Linked DNA regions of Mytilus edulis. Each later gene encodes a partner of the first gene's protein in a complex. Links are inferred from orthologs where the notes say so. Each region holds a gene or a part of one and is shown in the gene's direction. Other genes may lie near its edges.

Region 1 (12,485 bases):
AAATTTGCACTATCATTTTCTATGTTCAGTGAACCGTAAAATTGGGGTCAAAACTCTAATTTGGCATTTAAATTAGAAAGATCATATCATAGGGCACATGTATACTAAGTTTCAAGTTGATTGGACTTCAACTTCATCAAAAACTACCTTGACCAAAAACTTTAACCTGAAATTTGCACTATCATTTTCTATGTTCAGTGAACCGTAAAATTGGGGTCAAAACTCTAATTTGGCATTTAAATTAGAAAGATCATATCATAGGGCACATGCATACTAAGTTTCAAGTTGATTGGACTTCAACTTCATCAAAAACTACCTTGACCAAAAACTTTAACCTGAAGCCAAAAACTTTAACCTGAAATTTGCACTATCATTTTCTATGTTCAGTGAACCGTAAAATTGGGGTCAAAACTCTAATTTGGCATTTAAATTAGAAAGATCATATCATAGGGCACATGTATACTAAGTTTCAAGTTGATTGGACTTCAACTTCATCAAAAACTACCTTGACCAAAAACTTTAACCTGAAGCCAAAAACTTTAACCTGAAATTTGCACTATCATTTTCTATCAGTGAACCGTAAAATTGGGGTCAAAACTCTAATTTGGCATTTAAATTAGAAAGATCATATCATAAGGAACATGTGTACTAAGTTTCAAGTTGATTGGACTTCAACTTCATCAAAAACTACCTTGACCAAAAACTTTAACCTGGCAAAGAGCTGTTTCACACAATCTCATTTTCATGTTCAATGAACCATGAAATGAGGACCAAAACCTAAATTTGAGGTACTTTTTAGAAATTCCCTATTATAATGACTATGTATGTAAAGTTACAAATGGATGCAACTATAACTTCATCATAAACTACCTCGACCAAAAACTTTAACCTGACATGGGACAGACGGACGAACGGACGAACGAACAGACGAACGAACAGACGAACGAACGGACGCACAGACCAGAAAACATAATGCCCCTACTACTATCGTAGACGGGGCATAAAAACACTTTAAAGGATAATTTTGCTACATTTACTCTTTTACTGAACATGCTGAATGACAAACTTTAAATTAAGAAAGTCAGATTGTCTTAAAAATAACATCATTTTTGAAGAAACCTCATCTTAGCTTAAAGTCTGCATCATTTATACATGGAGCTATAGCAAAGTAGTTTTTTTTTGTTGAAGAATTGGATGTTTCGATAGCAGACTGTTGGAATTCTGTTGAATTCATTCATAAGTTCTTTAGATTCAAGGTGATTGAGTGTTTCCATATGATGATGAAATTTGGATAATGTTGTACTTTGTCTTTTTAGGTTTGGTTGTATTGTTGGGTTTGTCTAATTGATGAATTCACCATCTCTTTCCTTGATTCATACATTTTGATGTTGTTGTTTTTTGAGTGTTAGTAAATGTATCTTATTTTCATAAAATTTAGACGTCATGATGATTAGTCGTTAAATATGTATATTATGCAAGGTAGACCTATATAATAATGAAAGGTATGTTTTCTTAAAAATGTAAGTAGTACATAGTTATGGAGTGTTTGTTTACCTAGAACTTCTTATAATAACACTAGTATTTTTTTGATACATACTTTTCTGTTCTATGCTTTTTTTGTCTCATATAATTATTTTAACTTATACATGTATACCCTGTATTTTTCTTCCTGCTTATTAATTCTTTTTTGGTTTCTGTAAACTTACCCTAAATTCAATAATTTTAACTTCATTAAAGAGCTGATAGATGTAGATAATTCCTGCAATTAAAGATAAAAAAAAAATTAAATTCCACTTTATATCACTTTGGTACTTGTTCTTGGTTTTCAACAAATGTTATAGTAGTGTTTTGATTAAAAGAAATATAGGGTAAAGGTCAACAAGACAGCTACCCAATAACACAATAAAAACCAGAAAAGACACATTGATTTCATCTTCATTTTTTTTTTTTTTTTTTCTTAAAAATGTTTATTATGTACATGTTCAAATGTATATGCAATGTTTTCACAATGATAAATTTAAAGCAATAAGTAATTTATACCTTACATTATATAGTAAATATCTCATTGGCTAATATAGAATCATGTGTCATAGTTTAATTTCAATGCTTTTCCAAAAATTATCAGAAGCTTCGTGTGAATACACCCAACAAATTGAAGCCTTCAGCAAACAACCCTATTATGTCTGAGAATAACCCTGACAAATTGAAGCCTCCATTGAACAACCATATTATATCTTGTTGAATAACCCTAGTCGTACCTCAATGGTCAGGAGTTAACTCTCTTTAACTTATGACGTCAATTAACGTCAGATGAAAGAACAATAACGGCCAGGTTTAAAGAAGTCCATAAAGTGATGAAGAAACTTGACCAAACAAGACATGGAAATTCATCTTGTGTTGACAAAATCTATATTTTACAGAAAGAATCCACATTTGTTGTACATATACTGTCATATATGCGAAATGTCAATAAACACAAAAGCTTCTAAAAATGTAAGTGTTTTCACAATCTGTTACAATATCTTAATTTTTATTGTAATTTGTTTGTTCAGCATAATAAAACAAAGATGGCCCATTGAGTCGGTGAATATCCATAATTGTCAACCAGAGTAAGGGTTGTTCCCCTCGGGATTTGGATATACACTGCCTCAGGGGGCCATAATTGTATAATGATCTTACCTTGATGTGGTTATTGAAGAGATTCAAATGCTCCAAGTTCACTAGTTCAGATATAACATCAGGTACCACTAAAGTAACAGGTAATAAGAGTAATTGTTATTTCTTGGTGTATATCTTTATTATCAAAGTCTATATAAACTATAGGCATACATTTGGTGTAAAACATGCAGTGTTTTGTTCTCCAGAAAAAGCATATATCAAGTAATGGTTAATTATTCAAGTTGTGATCCATAAGCTGAATTGGCTAACATGCTTAACCCCGCCACATTCTCTATGTATGTGTCTGTCCCAAGTCAGGAACCTGTAATTCAGTGGTTGTCATTTGTTTATGTGTTACATATTTGTTTTTCATTCATTTTTTGTACATAAATTTATAGGCCATTAGTTTTCTCGTTTGAATTGTTATTTCAGGGCCTTTTATAGCTGACTATCATGACTATGAGGTATGGGATTTACTCATTGTTGAAGGCCGTACAGTGACCAATGATTGTTAATTTCTGTGTCATTTTGGTCTCTTGTGGAGAGCTGTCTCATTGGCAGTCATACCAAATCTTCTTTTTTCAATTTACAGAAATAAAGTATTATAATTATCATCATAGGCCATAGTGGTATTAGATCAGTTGTTGTCCATTCAAGTATTGTATAATTCTGCTTTCATGTTTAGTGTGATCTCTTTACATTATTAAAATATGGAATAAGCACATTTAAGAATGTTAAACTGTTCTTAAATTGTATATTTATCAGTTCCTGTAGGCTATCAGAACGCATGCTTAACACTTAAACTAAGTCACCACACACACGTGATTTAATGTATTACAATGTGTCTGAAAGATACATTTTATGTTGTCTTTTTCTATGGTGACATTCCATCTATTGGATTATATATGGATAAATCATTTGAATTGCATTGAATTACATTGACTCAAATAGTCATGATAGTTAGTATAATTGCTATTTTATAGTTTATGCTTTGATCATATTTTTCAAGTTTCACTGAGTGAATATCTTTGACAAGATTTGATCAGTACTTGTGATAAACTTACCTGTTATCTTATTGTGTGGCATTGTAAGTCTGGTTAAATGCTTTAAATCATCTGCAAAATAAAAGAAAATAATTTTAGATACAAGCCTTCCCAAATTTGACTTTTGGATTGTGAAGTCATTTGGTTATTTGTGTTGCTGGGTTGCTGTCTCATTGATGTACATGTATACCAACATCTAAATATTTCAAACAATCTTAAAACATAAAGATGAAGAAAAAAAAAACCTGACAGGAAAGGCCTGTATCACACATTGTCATTTTGGGGCCTTTTATAGCTGACTATGCAGTATGGGCTTTGCAGTGACCTATAGTTGTTAATTTCTGTGTCATTGATCGTCGAGAGTTGGCTAATTGGCAATCATACACCATTTCATATGATAAAGATATAGAAAATTCACATAAAGCCAGAACCAGAGAAAAGCTTGTGTTACTTTGTTTACTATGTATTGACAATAAATAAAACTTTGATTTGATTTGATTTGAAAATGGCAGTTAGCAGCTGTAACGTTGTCCATCTGCAGCCAAGCAAAGTGTTGAGAAATTGGATATGCCAAATAATTTGTTTTAACCGTAATAGGCAGATATATGTCATGTATGTGTATGTGAATTTAAGAAATATATAAGTATAAGGTTTTAAAGGTACACAAAAAAGACTAAGTAAATAAAAAAAAGAAAACCAAAGGGTATATGTATAATTTAGACTGCTTCAATGTTTGTGTTGGCTTTCCTCCATCGTGGTCATTGCAGGATTTTACAGTAAAGTGCTAGTACTCAGGAATGCTGTACACAGGAGAACAAATGCCCAACGCTAATTAAAACGCTTTCGGGTCGATCCGGCCCCACGTCTATCCGGCCCAAGTCGATCCGTCCCACGTCGATCCGGCCCCACGTCGATCCGGCCCCACGTCGATCCGGCCCCAATAAAAAAAAATATTTCTAAGGAATAAAAATAAATATATATTAATTGTAATTCATAAATGTTTATTATTTTTATTATAATGTTAAAGGTGTACGGTGAAGAAAGCAAAAAAGGCCTTTGAAAAATATTTCCTTTAGATGAGTATAAAACAACTAGGTTGATTATGTCTTCATTACAAGTTTTCAAGATTATTGGGTATAATTATATTAAAACGTATATAAAAGAATTCAGACATCAACATTAATCAACATTAATTAGCATTTTCTTTCAATTGACTGTGATCCTAACAAGTCTTTCATCTTGTGTAACATATAATAACAAGTAGTTACATACATGAACGGTACAAGCCGATCCCCAAGCTGATACATATAAACTTTGTTTTTCTTTTTAAGTTCTTAAAATTTCTAAAATTGAGAAATGTTTGATTTGCCGAATCCTTTCTATAAAAGAGTGCTGATATTATATTTTAGAGAGTGAAAACGTGCATTCAATGTCATTGTTTTGTTGTTTTCTTGCAATAAAGAATAATGGATACTCATATGACTTTTTTTTATCTACACACTATTCAAAATATTGTCAAAATAAGAAAAATATAATGACTATATCCGATGTTACAAAAAAAAAGTGTTATAGAATAGAATATTTTTATATGTTAAAGAAGCCTATGATGTAACCTGAAAAAAAAAAATACAAATAATTATTATAATATACACCAACCAGAAGATCAAACCATGGAAGTAGTAATATTACTTCCATGATCAAACTATACTGAAAGACCTTGTTGAAAAAACAGATTACGTAACTTTAATTGATCAGTATTGGATTGAATTAAGTGATTACAAATGGCATTACCTTAGTTCACAATCATCAGACAACTGATGAATAAACAAACCAATTATAGACTAATGATTTGATTAAATAAGTCATTATTATGCGTTAAATTTTATAGGTCCATTGGACTGTAAATATTTATTTAGCTATTCTGTGTGTGAACTGAATAAAATAAAAATCGCCATGAAATTCAAAGTAAAAGTTATCATGGAAAATAACTTCATAATTCAAAAATGTAGAAACTGCGATACAAACAGACACAATAACACTAATTTTCGTATGGATGTAAAATAGTTCGTTAACTGGTACTCCAATACATCACTGACCTGTTGTCATCCATCATCGATCGGACACTTTTTTCAAATTCCATTTATACTGTTAAAGTTTGTGAAAAATTCCTCCAAAATCTAGTTAATACTCTAGTTCAGGGAAGCAATGCGCATGTGCAAGATCGATCGTGATTTTGCGTTATCGACTAATTAGATACGAGATTTGATAAACTGGGGGCATTATCAGTTTATTGATTTAACAGATCGGCATCATTATTACTGTAGTCATATGCATAATTTATTTTCACATGCTATGGCACACGAAAATATATACAACATATAACAAATAAAAGGCAGCAGAGAACAGAAGTTACAGACTGAGAGTATACAATAATATTATGACATTATATGTGATCTAATTTTCCAAGCGGCTGCATTTGAATAAATGCATATAGTTTTACTGTCAGAGATTTAGAATAAATTATCTAACTTATGCCGATTTGGCCAAGAATAGTAGAATAAATATAAAATTCTATGCGCACAGATCTATACGTTGGACATGATAAAACAAAATGATATTCGTCTTCCAAAACATTCATTTTGCAACATATACAAATTCTATTTTCTCTTTGAGTATTCAGATAACGACCAACTTCAACATTTAATCTAAGTGTGCCGCTACACAATTTTGTTAATATAGATACATTACAATGAAAATTTAAGTATCTTTCAAAACCAAATACTACTTTATATCGTTTATAAATACAAAGTTTGTTACATTCTTCTAAAGCTGAAGATTCTCAGATCCGGACATCCTGGCATTTACATTTTTCAGGGGGTGATGCCATCAGGATTCCTCTAGATTTTTCATCTATTTGAAGGTGATCACTGATTATTTATATTGCAGATTATTTTTTAACCAGAGTTTATAGTACGTTAAAAATCAAATTGGAGATATTATATAGTGTCTTTAACAATATTAAAAGAGTAAAATTACTATTTTCAACTGGTAACAATATATATCAATTAAATTAATTTGCATTAAAGTCTATGGAAAATCTAGAGGATTCTTATCCGCATCACCTCTCAATAATGTTTACATAACACAAATGCTAATCATTGATTGGTCAGTTACATGTTGTGATGTCACTGCAGATCTGAGAATTCCACGGACATATTAAAACAGACTATTTTGACCGTTATGTTAATTAATCTTAATTACAAAAGGAACAGTTAGATATGTCACCTGACTTTGAATGTTACCTTCACACAAAAATGGACAGATTCATGCTGTGATGTTCACTTAGCAGATCGTCTGTATATTCAAGAAGGTACAGGTGCTATTTCATTACCATATCTGAGGAACTGATCTTAGGTCATAAAAATAAAAGTCAATCAACACCTAGGCCATATGGTATCATAAAGTTTTACCTTAAACTATTAATCTCACCAGGCGACAGTTAGAGACAATTTATATACCCTTAATAATCGTAATATTTTATTATGGGGCCGGATCGACTTGGGGCCGGATCGACGTGGGCCGGATCGACTTGGGCCGGATCGACTTTGGGCCGGATTGACTTGGGGCCGGATCGGTTTGGGGCCGGAACGACTGGATACCATTAAAACTGGGTTAGCGGTAGGTATGAGATCAAGATATGTAAGATTCCTGTGCTTTTATCTTTCAGCCATGGTGTTGACTGTTGTTTGTTTATTTCTTATCCCCCCCATTTCTACATGCAAACATACACAATCCTGGAATTTCCAAGGTATTGATGCCCTTATCAACAATTTCCAGTTCATTGTTTTTGGTATCCTTACACTCCTCTATAAACTTCTTTGCTTTTGCTGCCATGATTGTCGACACCCAAAATATGTCCTATTTAGGAAAAGCAAAAATAAGGAAGTGCCTAGCAGCAGCTTCCGTTTCAATACGACGCCAAAATAGTCCTGTGATAAATATCTGATTCTAAATCCTAAAAGTATAATGTTATCAAAACTATCAAAAAGAAGGTGATTGATTAAAAAAAGTTACTTAAATTCATTACAAATATGTAACTTTTCCATCTTTGCGTATTAATATATAAAACTACTTTCAAGATGTCAGCGCCCATGTAGATACAACTTTTCATGTAAATAATATTGAAAAGGATAGAATTACTTGACTGATATGAGTATTAGACTGGTATTTTTCGCAACAACCCCTCAATAACATAATGAAAAATGTTTATCTGTTTAATTACACCAAATATATGTTATTGAAACTCTCTGTTCAGCTGAAGGGACACCTTTTTTTACTAGTAATAGTAGTAATCCATGAACATGTTTATTATCTATGTCTAATTTTGTAAATAAGTAGAGACTACCGTGGGAATTATACTTGTACTTTTACACATTAGCACAGTCTTTATGTAATGCCATGGTATCTACATGTATGTGTCATTGTCATTCCATTATTAAATCGGTCATTTGTAAAGATGTCTTATTATTCACATTCGCGCCTATTCACGTTGGCACCCTACATGTTCACGCCCAAATTTTATTTAAACTATCATATACTATGAAATACAAATCGTACATTGTATCTTCATATCTTTTTTTTTTTTTAAATAATGATCGAGTATTGGTTTTGTGTTCAATAATTTGTAAACGAGTTTTGAAAAGTGTATTGCTATAAATATTAATCCATCATATTGTCATACTTGTCCAAACACAAATGAGATCAGAGGAGACAAGCTGTTAAAAACAATTATATTTCATGTTTTTTATTTAAAATCTTGAAAGTTTTGTCATACCAAGCTAAATATATACATTTGTATGCAGTTATTTACATCAAAGCAAAGACTTAAAACAACTATCATGATTTTTATACACTAAAAAATAACACCAAATTAGCTGTGTATAAATACCAATTAGCAGTAATCATACATAATTAACATTTAGTAATTAATCATCAAATTAATAAAAAAAAAATATATTATAATTCCCTCAAATTTTATTCAAGAAACTAAAATTATTTGGTATATACATATAAAAAAATATCTAATAATTCAACTGAAATTCTAATACAAATTGGGTGCGAACGGACTTCGGGTGCGAACATGTGAGGTGCGACCGTGTAGGGTTGCGAAAATATATTGGGCGCGAATGGACCTGATACCTTCACTTTATATACGCAACACATACTTCATAGAACAATCACAAGATTGGGGGTGCATGCTGTGCAGTAGTTTTGTTGTCTAAAATTTGTGCACATTTTTATACGACGCGTCATATTATGCTATCATGTTGTCGTTGTCTGGTCGTCGTCTGAAGAGGCATTTAGTTTCCGGACAATAACTTTAGTTTTAATGAATAGATCTCTTTAAATTTTTATCAGAAGGTTTAATACCACTAAAGGAAGGTTGGGATTAATTGTGGGGTTATGGCCCAAACGGTGTAGGAATTAGGGGCCACAAAGGGGCCAAAAACAGCACTTTTCTAATACTTTGTATAAATTACTTATTTCTTGACCAATTTAAAAGGGGTTTTATTCTTAAATTCTTGAATCTAACCGTGAATTAAGTTTTTTGAATTTGATCCACGTTTTTAAATTGGTCCACATGAGGTCCCAAGGGTCCAGAATTAAACTTGATTATGGGCCCGGTTTTCAAGTTGGTTCAAATTGGGCTCCAAAATCAAACTTTGTTTAAACTTTGTTTGATTTTAACGAAAATTGAATTTATGGAGTTCTTTGATATGCTAAATCTAACCATGTATTTTGATTTTTGGGCCCTGTTATCAAATTGGTCCACAATGAGGTCAAAAGGGTCCAAAATTTAACTTTGTTTGATTTCATCAAAAATTGAATTCTTGGGATTATTTAATATGCAGAATCAATCCATGGCCATGTATTTAGATTTTGGATATTAGACCATAAAAGGTAAAAAAATTTTTTTACATTTAATAGACCACACTCATTCTGTGTCAGAAACCTATGATGTGTCAACTATTTAATCACAATCCAAATTCAGAGCTGTATCAAGCTTGAATGTTGTGTCCAGACTTGCCCCAACTGTACAGGGTTTGACCTCTGCGGTCGTATAAAGCTGCACCCTGCGAAGCATCTGGTTAGGATTACCTTTATCAATTTAATCATGCCTGAATAATCTGGATAAGGTGATAAGGTTTAGAATAATTTTGACGGGAAGAGACTCGTGAGGGTAAACATGGAATATAAAAAATGTCAAATACCACAGCATAGAGGGGAATTTGAGGCATATTCGCTGGCAGTGGTGACAAACATGCAAATATTCATCTATAGTAAAAAAAAAAATCATTTTTTGAATCTTTGTACCTTAAACTACATGTACAGTATGTTGAATTTTATTTCGGTTCTAGTCATATACTTTTCCTGTTTATTACAGAATGGCTCAACTTAAAGAAGTGTGTAGTTTTGATGGTCACAGTGACAGAGCATGGTGTGTGGCATGGAATCCTTCTGGCACATTACTGGCATCTAGTGGTGGGGATAAAGTTATAAGGATCTGGGGCAAAGAGGGAGACAACTGGGTCTGCAAATCTATTTTATCTGAAGGACATCAGAGAACAATACGTGCAGTTGGATGGTCCCCTTGTGGGAGTTATTTGGCTAGTGCAAGTTTTGATGCTACAGTTTGTATATGGAGCAGAAAAGAAGGAGAGTTTGAATGTATTGCAACATTGGAGGGCCATGAAAATGAAGTAAAGGCTGTATCCTGGTCATGTACTGGTAGTCTCCTTGCAACCTGCAGTAGAGACAAAAGTGTTTGGATTTGGGAAGGTATAAAACTAATGTGTACTTACATGTACATGTATTTCAAATAAAATATAAGATATAGTTTATACACTAGAACTCCATGCTACTATTGCATATTAAAAAGGAATTGCAATTATAAATGTATTTATCTAGTGATGACTATTTTATATCTTTGTGTTATCATGTCATGTTGTACAATTATTTTACAACATAAAAAAAGGTTAAATTGATGCAGTATAACATGTTTGTAAGCAGTGTATAAAAAACATCACACACTGAGATTGCATTAAATAATGTATTTTGATTCTATTTTTTTTTCATTTTCAAAATAAAGTACATGTCATGTATGTCAGTATGTTTGGATAAATTTTTCATATAAAAAATATATTTAACAAATGTAGATGATGAATATCATGAATATGGTGGGAAAATATATTAATCAAGCAATTGAAATTTTTTGAGTCCTGAATATTTTTTGCGTTTTGTATATATGTGTTATTTTCAATGTCATTTGAGCTATTTGTGTTTTTAACCGGATTTTTGTGACAAAAATGTCGGTTATTGATTTGGGGATGTACGGGCGGGCGGCAATCAAATGTTGTCCGTGCATTAACTCATGACCCATTCAACCAAAGCTTTTAAAATTTTAATATGTTGTTACTGACAACTAAATGAAGGTCAAGTTCAATAATGGCGATTTTGACTTTTACTGTTCAGGAGTTATGGTTCTTGTAAGATTGAAAAATGGAGTTTCCAGTCATGTCCGTGCATTTAAGCATGAACTGTTCTTCCAAAGCTTCCCAAATTTTAATATGTTGTTACTGATGACAAAATGGAGGTCAAGTTTAATTATGACGATTTTGACCTTTACCGTTCAGGAGTTATGGTTCTTGAAAGATTGAAAAATGGTGTTTCCAGTCGTGTCCGTGCATTTTCTCATGAACCATTCAACCAAAGCTTTTGAAATTTTAATATGTTGTTACTGATGACAAAATAGAGGTCAAGTTCAATTATGACAATTTTGACTTTTACCGTTCAGGAGTTATGGTTCTTGAAAGATTGAAAAATGGTGTTTCCAGTCGTGTCCGTGCATTTTCTCATGAACCATTCAACCAAAGCTTTTGAAATTTTAATATGTTGTTACTGATGACAAAATAGAGGTCAAGTTCAATTATGACGATTTTGACTTTTACCGTTCAGGAGTTATGGTTCTTGAAAGATCGTAAAATGGCGTTTCCATTCACGTTGTTACATTTACTCAAAAACCATTCAATCTAAGCTTTTCAAATTTTAATATGTTGATACTGATGACAAAATGGAGGTCAAATTTGATATTGACGATTTTCACTTTCATCATTCATCAGTAATGGTTCTTGTGATATTGCCAGGACACAAATAAATGTTAATAAATCCGGTTTGCTGTCGTTGTGACAGCCTCTTGTTTAAATTCATTTTAATGCTGATATAAACAATTTTAGATTTGATTTTCCTGAGATTAAATAGATTTTGTGACATCTACCCACCAACATTTTTCTTTAGGGGAAATCACTAATTGAATAATATAGAAATCATGACTTTTATATAAAATAAGTGGTAAAATCAAGATATTCACCAATTGCAGAGGTATTAAACAGTAAGAACTATATTGTCATACAAATAATTATAATAATATTGTTTTTATTGTGTTTTAGTAACAGAAGATTGCAGAGGTATTAGACAGTAAGAACTACAATGTATACTGACATTGTCATACAAATTATTATAATAATATGTTTTTATTGTGTTTTAGTAACAGAAGATGAAGATTTTGAATGTGCAAGTGTGATAAGTTCCCATACGCAAGATGTAAAACATGTGACTTGGCATCCAAATAAGGAGGTACTAGCTTCGTGTAGCTATGACAACACAGTCAAACTCTTCAAAGAGGAGATTGATGATTGGTCATGTTACAGTACACTAGAGTCCCAT
Region 2 (12,698 bases), on another chromosome or scaffold:
TTATATTGCATTGGTAAAGTATGGACTGACAGTTGTTGATGGAATCAGAGCTCAAGACAACAATCAATAAAAGTGTATTAATGTTTTAAAACATTTTAAGTTTTTAAATTTCCCGCCTGTATTTCTATTTAAAAGGTCCCTGTAAATATGCCATTCATGGCACTATTATGGTTTATGTATATATACTGTAACGTGTACATATATTAGATATTAAGGTTAGACTTCATATGGAGGTGTTCCTAATTAAAGGAGGCTTATACTAAGAAAAATAAGTTTACTAACGGTTTACTGATTTACTATTTTGGAATGCATTAAAATTTTGAACTTGTTGCCTTTTGTTGGCTGTTGTTCGTGTGTTTCTTTGTCAATTGTGTTCTCCAATTTATTTATATTGTAGTCCTGTGGTGTTGCGTTGTCATTTTAATGTTATATTTCACATGGCTATAAAAGAGGGAGGTTTGGCATGCCACAAAACCAGGTTCAACCCACCATTTTTTCCTTTAAAAATGTCCTGTACCAAGTCAGGAATATGGCCACTGTTATATTATAGTTCGTTTCTGTGTGTGTTACATTTTAACGTTGCATCGTTTGTTTTCCCTTATTTTTGAGTGTAAATTCACATTGCGATAATTAAGACGTGTCACGGTACTTGTCTATCCCAAATTCATGTATTTGGTTTTGATGTTATATTTGTTATTCTCATGGGATTTTGTCTGATGCTTGGTCCGTTTCTGTGTGTGTTACATTGTAGTGTTGTGTCGTTGTTCTCCTCTTATATTTAATGCGTTTCCCTCAGTTTTAGTTTGTTACCCCGATTTTGTTTTTTGTCCATGGATTTATGAGTTTGAACAGCCGTATACTACTGTTGCCTTTATTTACGAGGAAATTAATCGAAGGACCAGTTTAAAATATTTTCACAAAATTGCGTCTTGTCAAAATCACAACATTCAAAGAATTTAGTGTTTCCGTCGATTTTGTTTATTAAACAGAGTGAAACGATAACGATCTATAATAAATCAGGTGAAATTGACAATCGGGGGTACTGAGAAATGCTTGCAAACTTTTTGTTTAAATAGTTTTACTATTCACATTTTTGAATTATTCATATGACTTGATCTTTTTTCGTTCAATCCGGATTGAGGAGAATTATAATATTGAAATAAATATCATCAAGTGAAAATAATAAAGAAGAAACAAGAGGAGAAACACACCCAAGCCAATTCTTGATTTTATACATCGACTTTCCCTACGGAAACGAAATAAATTCCGCAAATATAAAAAAAAAGCGTACGGTAAAAATGTTGATTTTTTAACCCCCTCCCCCCAAGTGTACGTTTTGTACACTTTGGAAAATGGTTGACAATTATGGATGACCCCTTAGAATGATCTAAATTTTAAATGATTATATTGTTAATTTCATGTGTATATGTCACAGTGTTAAAAATAAGGTATTTTTTGTATTGCTTTCTCTCTTAATCATGTTGAAAAATTATCTGTTGTATGGTATGACAGTCAAGCAACAAAAACAATCAAATATATGTCCATTAAACACCATGCCCATTAATCCTATCACATTTTCAATTTGAAATCTTAACTTAGCATATATAATTAAATTAAGAATTAACATCATAATGAAGATGAATACCAAGTTTCAAGTTGTTGTGACAACAAATTCAAATTTAACTATCTTATTCTAACTCTAATCTGATATATAACAGAATAAGACATAGATCAGAAAACATAATGCCCCCTTAATTCTTAAACAAAAATTGCCAAAAAAACCTTGGTCTTCACTATTTCATTAAACAAACCTCATGTAGTGTTCCTATAACGTAATCTTTCATAAGATCTCTAGCGTCAGTAGAGTGACCAACATCCTCAAATGCTTCAGTGGCATCTCGACCTAAAATTAACAATGAATCAAAAGTTTTAGGTCAGTAATTCTTATATGATTTGCATATTAGGGAATACGTTGATATGATTTTATCTGTTGTATGGAATGAGTCAAACAACAAAAAACAATCAAATGTCAATAAAATATGCCTGGTTACCCTATCATATTTTTAATTTGAAATATGGTTTGAAACATTAACTTGGCGTACATGTATATAATTACGTTAAAAGATGAATATTAAGTTTCAAGCTATTGTAACTACAACTGCATAGTAACCTATCTAAATCTAACTTTAATTTGATATACATGTATGGCAGACTAAGATACAGCATCTGATTGACATTTGTCCCACATCTTCTTTCATTCAAATAGAAATGTTAACTTATGGAGAAGACAGGTGTATCTTTGACTCCTCAAAGAGTTCAATCGGTTGACAGGGGCCACTATTAAGCAGTGAATTTGACCTCAGATCTATTGATCCCAAAATTAAAATGTCTCTGTCCCAGTCTCTATATCTTCCATCTGTATAAGTTTCATTCAAAATAAGGCCAAATAAAAACATATGTGTGACTCCAGTAAACCTACCTTCCCTACTTTTTCGCCTCAAAAATAGCCTACTCTAAAGATTTTTTTGTCTTTTTTCATTAAGCACTGTTAAAGTCAGAATGTTGCTCCCATAGACTCAATGTAAAAAAAAAATCCCTACCTACTTACCCTAACTTTTTTTCAGATGTAACTGGAACCACACATACTTTTTTATTTGGCCTAAGTAAGTGAAATAATACAAAATATTTCTGCTTAGTTTCTCCAATTAGTGATTATTTTAAATTCAAGTGCTTGTGGAGTTATTTCATTTTCAATTATTAAATATAGATGATTTTTCTAATACCTGATTGCTCTAATAATACTTCTTCTCCACCAGGATGCTGAAATACAGGAAACTAATATTAAAATCATATTTATTTATTTACGATTGTGGTTACTCATTAAAATAACAAATTACATGAATAGAGAGTATATTATCCCAAGTACACTCATCACTTTCAAAATTGAGAATGGAAATGGGGAATATGCCATAGAGACAACAACCGGACAAAACAGCAGATAACAGCCAAAGGCCACCGATGGGTCTTCAATGCAGCAAGAAAATTCCAAATCAAGAGGTAGGCATCATCTAAATAAAAATCTGTACTAGTTCAGTGAAAATGGACGTAATACAAAACTCCAAAACATTTAAATGAACTAAAATGAAACCAGATGCTCTGCAGGGTGCAGCTTTATACGACCGCAGAGGTCGAACCCTGAACAGTTGGGGCAAGTATGAACAGTTGGACACAACATTTAAGCTTGATACAGCTCTGAATTTGGATTGTGATTAAATAGTTGACACAACATGGGTTTCTGACACAGAATGAATGTGGTCTAAGAACTTAAACTTAATCAAAGTGATGGAAATCACTCATGGAAAGATTAGAAGAGTAGTTTGAATAATTTCATATTAAGGTATGGTGAGGGAAAATGATCATTAATAAAGCACTATTGGAGAAAATTGCATTTACAGCAGGTCTTTAGAAGGAGAAGAGTTTTTCCAGTATGAGGATAAAATGAGCTCAAATTAAATAATACGGCTCTCTTAACTTGCACAATTTTATTTAAACTGCAGTTTATATCTTATCCAAATAATGTTGCCTGTGCTGAACATAAAATCGAGACCAACAGCTAAGAACATTAAAGTGTCAACAAAAATAATCTAAAAATGTTGTTTTGTGAAACATAGGTTATATGACATTGAAAGATTAAAAGTCGTAGAGTGTCTCAATATTTAAAGTATTTTTCAACACAGGGCATTGAAAATGTACTTTTTCAATGTAAACAAATTAAAAAAACTTTTTTTTATTGAAATGTGGATTGATGGGGAATAAACTAATAATTAAATAAACAATGGTTTGTTATAATTAAAAGTTTTAAAATTTTAAAACTGTTTCAAGCCAAATCCTGATAAAAAAAATTAGGGAACCAATCTAAATTGTTGATTAATTACAGTCTACAGATGTTTATTGGAAATTCATTAAGAAAATTATAGGCCTTACTTGAATATCTTATATATATATATATATATATATTCATATTCATATTTCATTTTTTTTTTTATAAGATCTTGTTATTCCATTATTTATCTTTCAGACATAATTTACAGAATCACTTTATGTAATCACAGGGATCTCCATGGATGAAAATTGAACGATGGAGGAACTTTCACCATTACAAACCGTGACTACGCTGTAAAGTGTAGCGCGATCGGAAGTATTTTATTCTTCCATACAGGGAATGGTGAACATGCTAATTCAATTGCTTATTTAAATTATATTTATTTGAATTTTCATTATAGAATTAGAAGTATCAATATTTTCATTTATTGCCGTTTTTAATCATTCAAATGCCAAGTCTTCATGGTCCCCCCTTAGTTGAGAATGACCAAAAGCTGTCATGGAGGTCCCCATGTAGATTTTTTGTATTTTTGGTAATTGTTATGGGGGTTAAAAATCATATGATGTGGAGCTTATTTTTCATGGACACTGTCAAATTCAGAACCCATTACCGGTATGGCTGATTTGCAGCAACAACAAAACGATTCGTACGGGTTATGTAAAAGGTTAAAGAGATTTATAAAGCAAATGTTGACAAATGAAAAGGTTTTTAATGACTTTATCTTGCAAATTGATGCTGTGCAACATGCCGCATCTTTCGAGTCTAAAAAAGTAACCGGAAACGCGGATGTATCAATTTGATTGTAATATACGAAATGAATTCGGAATTACGATACGATATTTCTTTACAGGAAATATTTAAATTTTTACTTTTAAACTTTTAAAGTAATTCTAAATTATCGTTACAGTAGTACTCAAGTTATTTGCGATGAAATAATATTTACTGTTTTGCGTCTTATTTTGTACTTCTTTAAAAAGGAGGATGCTGATTGCGTAAGTCAAAATAAAGCATGTGTTCGACTTGTTCAACTGTTTTCTTTGTAACTGGATTATTTATTAATTTAATCTAAATTATCATAATCATTTGCTGAAACTTATTTGGTTAATTCGACAAATGGATCGTCTATCCTCAGATAGTATTCTCCTGTCTGGTTTGTTGATCTACCTGTACAAGCTCAGGTACAAGTGATTAGCGATCTTAATCCGGATACCCCCCAGGCGTTAGAACTGTATTGGATTATAACATAAAAAGCCTAAGGGTTATGCAATGACATGCATTTGATTATAATTGATAAAAAAAATGGCGTCGGGCTACAAAAAAACGATGAAGTTTTGAACGATGGCGGAAGACAATTTAACGATGGCGCAAGACAATTTAACGATGGAGCAAGTCATTTGACGATGGCGCAAGACATTTGAACGATGGCGGGGCGCCATCGTTAAACAGGCCATGGAGATCCCTGATAATCATAATGTAGATAAAAAGAAATAGGAAATAATAAATGTATCAAACATCTAATATACACATTTGTGTATTCAATTATGAGGTCAAATATTTGTATATTGAGTTGCATATATATTAGAGTATAATTATGTAACACAGATGTTGAAAGGTAATGTGGTCAATTTGATTGACAGTTTAGGAGGTGGGGCATTATAATTAAAGGTCTACCTTGTCTCTTATTGTTTGTTGATAATGCCAGTTGTCAATCATATGAGTATTGTATCAATACTCAATAACCTAATCAAAATGTTTTAAAATAAGCCTGCACATCAACAAACTTTAATGATATACATTCTTAAATGAACTGCTCCAAAAATATACCCATTTTTTTCAGTTTATATGTGTATTATGTGCACATACATGAGAACTATAGGGAACTATATTTCAGTGTGAAAACATTTAGTAAAGGTAGCTAACCTGTAGTGTTGTTAGGGAGGCCAGTGCCTTTAGAGTAAAGATTTAAAACAAGTTCTTATCTTTCCAAAAAAATTTAAATTAGACATTTACCTATTTATGGTCCAATATCCAAAATCTAAATACATGGTTAGATTCAGCATAACATAGAACCCCAAGAATTCAATGTTCAATTTTAGACCCTTTATTTCGTTATCAAGCACCGGTAAGGGGAGTCTAAACATTTTGTTGATTTTTGTTTTAATTTTTATTTTGTTAACATCAAAATTGGGACATAGTAAATGGGACCAAGAACTTTACAGGAAAATATAGCTATTTTAACTTAGAATTAAATTGTGAAAGATTTGTTTAAGTGTGTTGAGTATGATGTCATATGGTACTTGTATATAAAGGTTAAAATGTGGATTGATACAGAACTGCAGTTTTACCCATTCATAAATTATACACAGGAATATTATAGTACAATAAAATTTACATTTTAATATAAAATTATTATCATGTATTAGCTTTGAACATGCCGAATGATGAATTTCTTTCATTTGTCCATAATTTATCCTTTCAATTTTTGTTTCGTACGTCCTACATCTTGACCTTTATGATTATGTGTCCCAATGTGAATGTCAAGTCTTTAAAACCATCTGCCCATCATAACTTACCTCTTCAAGAAACTTTGAAACATCATAAACATTATCATGAATGATCATAAGAGTCTTTGTTTTATCAGTGTTGTTCTTTACGTCGGCTTCTCTGAAAACTTTCGTCATTTTGCAAAAGTCGAGATTTCGTGAATGTCCCGGAAATGAAAGAAAACTTATAAAATTCGAAACGGACGAACAGAGTTACTCCCCTTAATATTTTTCCGGATTAGCATGAAATTCACTTCAAAATGTCCCAAAATGATTTAGACAATGCAAATCCTACAATATACGAAGTTGGTTCTGAGAGACCGGTCTTACCAGAGGAAGAAGATGAAAGTGTTACAGACAAAATAGATACAAGAGAAGTTTTTGGTAAGATAAACTAAATAATACGACAGCTGACTAAATCAGAACCATGTCATGGGTACCACTTGCTAAAGCTGCAACTTTAGTAAACATTTAAATTAAAACTGTATTGCCAGGTCTGTCTTGTCACCCTTATAAAACACACAGGCACTCGTCTCAGATTTTTTTTTCTAAAGGTATATAGGATTTTTTTTTTGAGACGAGTGCCTGTGCTTAAACACTGCATAATATTGCCTAGGCCAATTAAATGATTATGACGTCTTGAAAGGCCATTATAATTTTTTTCTTTGACTCCTAACTTCGACATATTGCCTTACACATCAAAAACACTACCAACCCCTATCATGCCATTACAATACAAAATATCTCAATAGACCACTTTCTACTTCCAGTTATGTCCTTCATTGGAAAAGATTGTCAATTGATTATGTGCACCTTTATGACATCATTTACCATATATAGGATCCCATGTATCTCTGCTCTATCTAAATTCATCAAGCGTCTTTATAATTGTCATTTTGCCGCATAAACCGGAAATAAAGTTTGTTCCGTAATACTATTATCACAATTCCCTGAATACAGAATAAATTGTGCAATACATCAGCATATTTTTTTCAACCTCTTCCTCAACATATAATTTGGTAGGAAGTGACAATGCCTCTTAACTATCTAATGATGTTCCAATTGCAAGCACTGAGATATTGTATCTATTGGGAGATATATAGGCTCATCATATGATTATCATGCTCCACAGATATATGGAAAGGTCACTATGGGAAAATGTAAATCATCTCTTTTGTTATACTTTGTTGTAGTTTAGGTTTAAGTTTCACAACTATACACATTCACTATCATGATTATAGTCGCTAAAGCAATTGTAAAACCCATGAAATCAATCCATGACAGTTGATGCCTTTGAAAGCATAAAGATATATATTTATAAATTACTTTCTTGATCAACTTCTAATAGTTGACAATACTTCACCATTTGAATGGTTTAACACTAGTCATATTTGAGGCCCTTTAAAGCTTGTCATTCATTGTGAGCGAAAGTTCTGTGTTGAAGACCGTTCTTTGACCTATAATGGTTTACTTTTACAAATTGTGACTTGGATGGACAGTGATCTCATTGGCACTGATACCACAGCTTCTTATATCTATTCACATATTGAGCCAGGGGGCAAATTTCTAAGTCTTTATTTTTTATTTCTGATTGATACTTTAATCAATTATCTTTACCATAACTGTAGCATATAGTTAAATAATATGTTTATTTCAGATTTGATCCGTGTTATAAATGACCCTGAACATCCACTGACATTAGAGGAATTGAATGTTGTTGAGCAAAGCAAAGTTATTGTAAGTATATTACTATCAACTGAATAAAAAAGATTACTGTAAATTCAGAAATTATTGCGATGATTTTATTATTGTGAAAAATGGGACAGGGTTATAATAGCAATAATTTAAATTCGCATTTTGAAATTTTTCCTTAAATTAAACAGGATTTTTCTCAATATGGCAAAAAAATAAAATCACATTGTAGTCTAAATTGACAAAAATTGCAATAATAAATGCATGCAATAATTACTGAATTTACAGTAGATGCTAGTAATGTCATTTATTTTAATCTTACAAGCATAATGTGATGTGTTTCTGGATAACTGTCTTCTGAGCTACATTGTTCATTATTTAACCTTTTATAAAGTATCTGCTGTAAAAAAGACTCACCTTGAGTGGGAACATAAACAAATTTAAGAACTAAAAAGAAATATAGTGTATTGGCAATTGAATGTCCGTAACCCTCATTTGAATTCAAGAGATATCTAAAAGAAAATTAAAATCAGATGAAATAAAATCATAACTTCAAGATATATTTTCAAGAGACTGTTTTGAGTCTGCAAGTGGAAATAATAATTATAAATACATTACATCATTAATCATGTTAATCAGTGCTTGATTTCCCATATTGGATGTTTTCAGACAAGTCGCAGGAAAAATCTCAAAAGAGCTATAGTGAAATATCTAACTTTATTCAGATTGATTAAATTGAGAATGGAAATGGAGAATATGTCATAGAGACAACAACCCGACCAAAGAGCAGACAGCCGTGAATAGAAGTTGTACATTTCATTAGAATTATATGCACCATAATGTTATGTGAATTTTTCTTTCAGGTAGATGATGATGCTAACAAAGTGACGATAGAATTTACACCCACAATTCCACACTGTAGTATGGCAACATTGATTGGATTGTCTATTCGGGTTAAACTTCTAAGATCTCTGCCACCAAGATTCAAGGTATCAAAAATGTAACATAAAGCCACAGAAAAACATCCTTAAAAATAAAAAAACTTAATTTCAAAAAAGTTATTGGCAAGGATTTGTATAGTAAGACTATACTATACAAATCCTTGTTATTGGTAAGCTGAGGATTTTTTATTGGAGCAAGAGCATTGCAAGACCTTATATAGCATTTTTATGAGTTTCTTGTAATGTATCAATGATTTAGCTGATAGAAAAAGAAAAGTATCAGAAGTTTTTATTTGAAAATAATACACTTTGTGCTTTGGGTTCATATGAATATTTTGCTGCTCTCTTAAAAGATATTAAAGACAAAAATAATTAAAATATTAATAGCTAAACAGTATATCTCAGTTCAGGGTTTCACCTTAGCAGTCATATAAAGCTGTGCCCTGTGGAGCATCTGATTGTCATATCTGAAAAACAATGATAAATAGAAAAATTGCAAAAATTATCAACAAGATTTTCACTCCTGTCAGATCATGTAATTTTTTAATTGCAGGTAGATGTTTCAATAACACCTGGAGCACATGCATCGGAAGAAGCAGGTAACTTTGTTATAAAATGTTGATGTTAAAAATTTCTAATTTCAAATGTAAAGTATATAGACATAGGCTCACCAAGGAAATTCTAAGCATTCAGTTATTATTGTATAAATTTGTTTAATCCAGTCTTGCTGCTGCTATTCACAAGATCTTGATATTTTGGTGTGTTTGAAAAATGATGCACTAAAAGCGTTTGTTTGCTTTTATCTATTGCCAAACATTCTTAAACAAATTGAAACTTGTCACCAATATTACTGGAATCAGAAAAAAGTCAAATACCATTTTCTGTCTGAACATTTTGTTATCTACCATTTTCAATTGGAATTTTTTGTGTTCAAAGTTCTATATGTTTTAAAAGAACATATATAATAATTTTTCATCTATAATATAAATAAAATGTCTGCAGCCGGTTGTACGAACATGTAATTATACCCCCGCTTTATTATACCCCCGCTTTATTATACCCCCGCTTTAAAAAAGGGGGGGTATACTGTTTTACCTCTGTCTGTCAGTCCATCAGTCCGTCCGTCAGTCAGTCCGTCCCATGAAACTTTCGTCACATTTTTCTCAGGAACTACACATCCACCCTTTCTGTAATTTGGTATCAACATTTATATATGTGATGCGTTTTCAGATTCATCACTTGACAACTTCCTGTTTACCGAACACTTGTCTGATTTTACACATGATAGCCAAGTTGAAAATTTTCGTCACATTTTTCTCAGGAACTACAATACAAGGATTTCTGAAATTTGGTTTCAGGATTTATATAAGTCAGCTATACCGTGTGATGCGTTTTCAGTTCATCACTCGACAACTTCCTGTTTACCGAACACTTGCATATTTTTACACTATTAATATTATCCACTTGCGGCGGGGTATCATCAGTGAGCAGTAGCTCGCAGTTTCACTTGTTAAGTCTTCATTAAGCCCTTGTGATACATTAGGCTAATGAAGACTTAATGACACATTAGGCTAATAACATGTTCGTACAACTGACTGCAGTTGTTTAACTCTCTCTTTAAGTAATGAACTATTTGGGACCATTTCAATTTTGAAGTAAAAGGACCTTTCTATAAAGTCAACAGTCCCATAACAGTATAAAAAATGAACGTCATCTTCCTTTGTTATGTAGATTTAGAATCTTCATAGTAAAGACTGTTCGTCGACCTTTGACCCACACTCATTTGAACCCCTGTCGATATAAGATGGTACTTTTACAATAATTGATTTTATATTTTCAGTAAACAAACAATTAGCAGACAAAGAAAGAGTAGCTGCAGCTTTGGAGAACAGTCATTTGATAGAAGTTGTTAATCAGTGTTTGGATGACCAGAAAAGAAAACTCGGATAGAGATTTACTTTCTAATTGATTCCAAATCCATGCATTTTCATCACTTTTCAGGCCCTGGGCTCAAAACTGTTTTATAACTGTTGTTCAAGGACCATCTTTAATGCAGAATGGCTGAATGACTTTTGAATATAAATAATAACAATCAAAACAGATAGACTTGATTTACAACTGGACAACTTGCATAATGTGTAAAAGCTTGAAGAAAGCCCAGGACTTTTACTCATAGATAAAGTTTTAACACCTCCAATATAAGGCCGACTTTCTGTTTAATTGCTTGAAAAAATAATTAAGACATAATCTTTACCAATGCCTGGCTACCTCAACATTTTAAAGTAGAGAATAGCCCAAAAATGTTATTAGCCCATTTCTCTTTTGGTACAGTTATAAAAAATAGTTATACCTAAGACACGTTAATACATTTTTGGTTATTTATAATTATTATGAATATATATATAAATAAATTGATCAACAGTGACTTCATGTAGTTATTGCATTCACAAGATCACATAGTTATTATACACAAGCTCTTCATAAAAAGTCTATTGAAAATAGTAAATTTAAGTTATGTTACACTCAAAACATTGTTGTAGCTTTTAGTGGTCTTTTCATTGTATCATTGTATCAAATTCATTAAATTGAGCATGAAAAGATTTCAAATTAAAGTGTGCATGAATGAATAAAACATTAAGTCTCAACCTTAGTCTGTTATTTTTTTTTTTAATTATTGTTCAGAGTTATCTCCCATGTTTAATGTAGATTTAAATTGTAATTGCAACACTTATCTCCCTTTTGTGATATACTTATATAAATTATAATTCATATCTCTCATTGACCAGACAGCAGATTCTGCAAAAAGCAATACTAAGTATTTTATCTTTGTTCATAATACATCTCAAAACTGTAATAACAAAGCCCCTCTGCAAGACTCTTATAATAAGCTGCACTTACCTTATGTAGAGGATTTTTGTTATCTCCCCTTATTAATAAAATATTAATATAAAAGTGTTGCTGTAAAAAATGTTCTTTCTTAGAAGTTAGTGTAGTGGTTAATTATTTTTTATTTCAGACAAAACAGCATTTGATTGATCTTTTTTAAAGATTGAATTTTGATGTTAAAGTCAGCTTTTTAAGCAAGTAATTTCTAATTAACATCAAGGTAAAATGGATTTCCTGTTTTAATGAGTTATCTCCCATGTAAAATTGAATTTCAATACATTTGATTCTAATGCAATTATGTTGTATCAATGGTTCTGATTTGGCTCCGCGTCGCCAGGTAAACTTAATTTGCGACAGTAAAACTACCGGGACATCCTTAAAGCTTCAAATACAATACAGTTATCTCTTAATTCTACAGTTATTAGTCCCCAATGAAAATTTGTGTATTTCTTTTAAGAGGTAATTATTAGTTTTCAAGTTATTGCTCATAATAAAAAGCTTTGACTCAAATACATTTTTTGTTTTTTGATGTGTTTTTGTGTCTAAGATGGTTTATTCATACTTCCTGGTTAAGCAGTTTCATCTGAAAAATCTGTCTGTTCTCTCTTTTTTGTGTGTCACTTGTATATCAAGAGTTGATACATAGGTTATTTAGTATTTTCTGCTAGTACAAGGCATCAAGCAGTTACCAAAACTTATCACTGAAAGAGTATATATTTGTTTAGGGGCCAGATGAAAGACGACTCCGGGTGC

Evidence for each region.
Region 2: the proteins of probable cytosolic iron-sulfur protein assembly protein CIAO1 homolog (region 1) and cytosolic iron-sulfur assembly component 2B-like are in contact, whole or in part, in a crystal structure (PDB 6TBN), measured with the Drosophila melanogaster proteins. The link is inferred for Mytilus edulis from reciprocal best matches to the Drosophila melanogaster genes Ciao1 and galla-2. Residues at the interface, in NP_610996.1 of Drosophila melanogaster: Arg16, Trp18, Arg60, Thr61, Arg63, Phe79, Glu105, Lys107, Arg123, Asp150, Lys152, Tyr168, Asn170, Ser195, Thr196, Trp198, Thr216, Ser248, Gly249, Gln250, His251, Ser252, Arg253, Tyr256, Gly272, Asp273, Asp274, Arg277, Glu299, Gln304; in NP_648416.1 of Drosophila melanogaster: Ser74, Pro106, Lys109, Thr111, Ala124, Lys127, Gln128, Asp131, Lys132, Glu133, Arg134, Ala136, Ala137, Glu140.

Annotation. Positions count from the first base shown.
Region 1 is NC_092345.1:69,382,836-69,395,320, forward strand, and holds the start of probable cytosolic iron-sulfur protein assembly protein CIAO1 homolog, read left to right. Parts: upstream 1-7,818; 5' UTR 7,819-7,872; exon of another isoform or gene 7,873-7,925; intron 7,926-10,146; 5' UTR 10,147-10,147; coding exon 10,148-10,541; intron 10,542-12,306; coding exon 12,307-12,485. Other genes in the region: ras suppressor protein 1-like, read right to left, coding at 1,707-1,759, 2,680-2,747, 3,723-3,773, 7,490-7,595. UniProt on the Drosophila melanogaster protein: Essential component of the cytosolic iron-sulfur (Fe/S) protein assembly machinery. Required for the maturation of extramitochondrial Fe/S proteins.
Region 2 is NC_092348.1:64,359,692-64,372,389, reverse strand, and holds cytosolic iron-sulfur assembly component 2B-like, read left to right. Parts: upstream 1-6,637; 5' UTR 6,638-6,686; coding exon 6,687-6,810; intron 6,811-8,083; coding exon 8,084-8,163; intron 8,164-8,981; coding exon 8,982-9,107; intron 9,108-9,612; coding exon 9,613-9,658; intron 9,659-10,899; coding exon 10,900-11,009; 3' UTR 11,010-11,704; downstream 11,705-12,698. Other genes in the region: cytochrome b5-like, read right to left, coding at 1,812-1,903, 2,784-2,820, 6,457-6,564. UniProt on the Drosophila melanogaster protein: Component of the crb-galla-Xpd (CGX) complex which is essential for proper mitotic chromosome segregation in early embryos. The CGX complex is also required for cell proliferation in developing wing disks.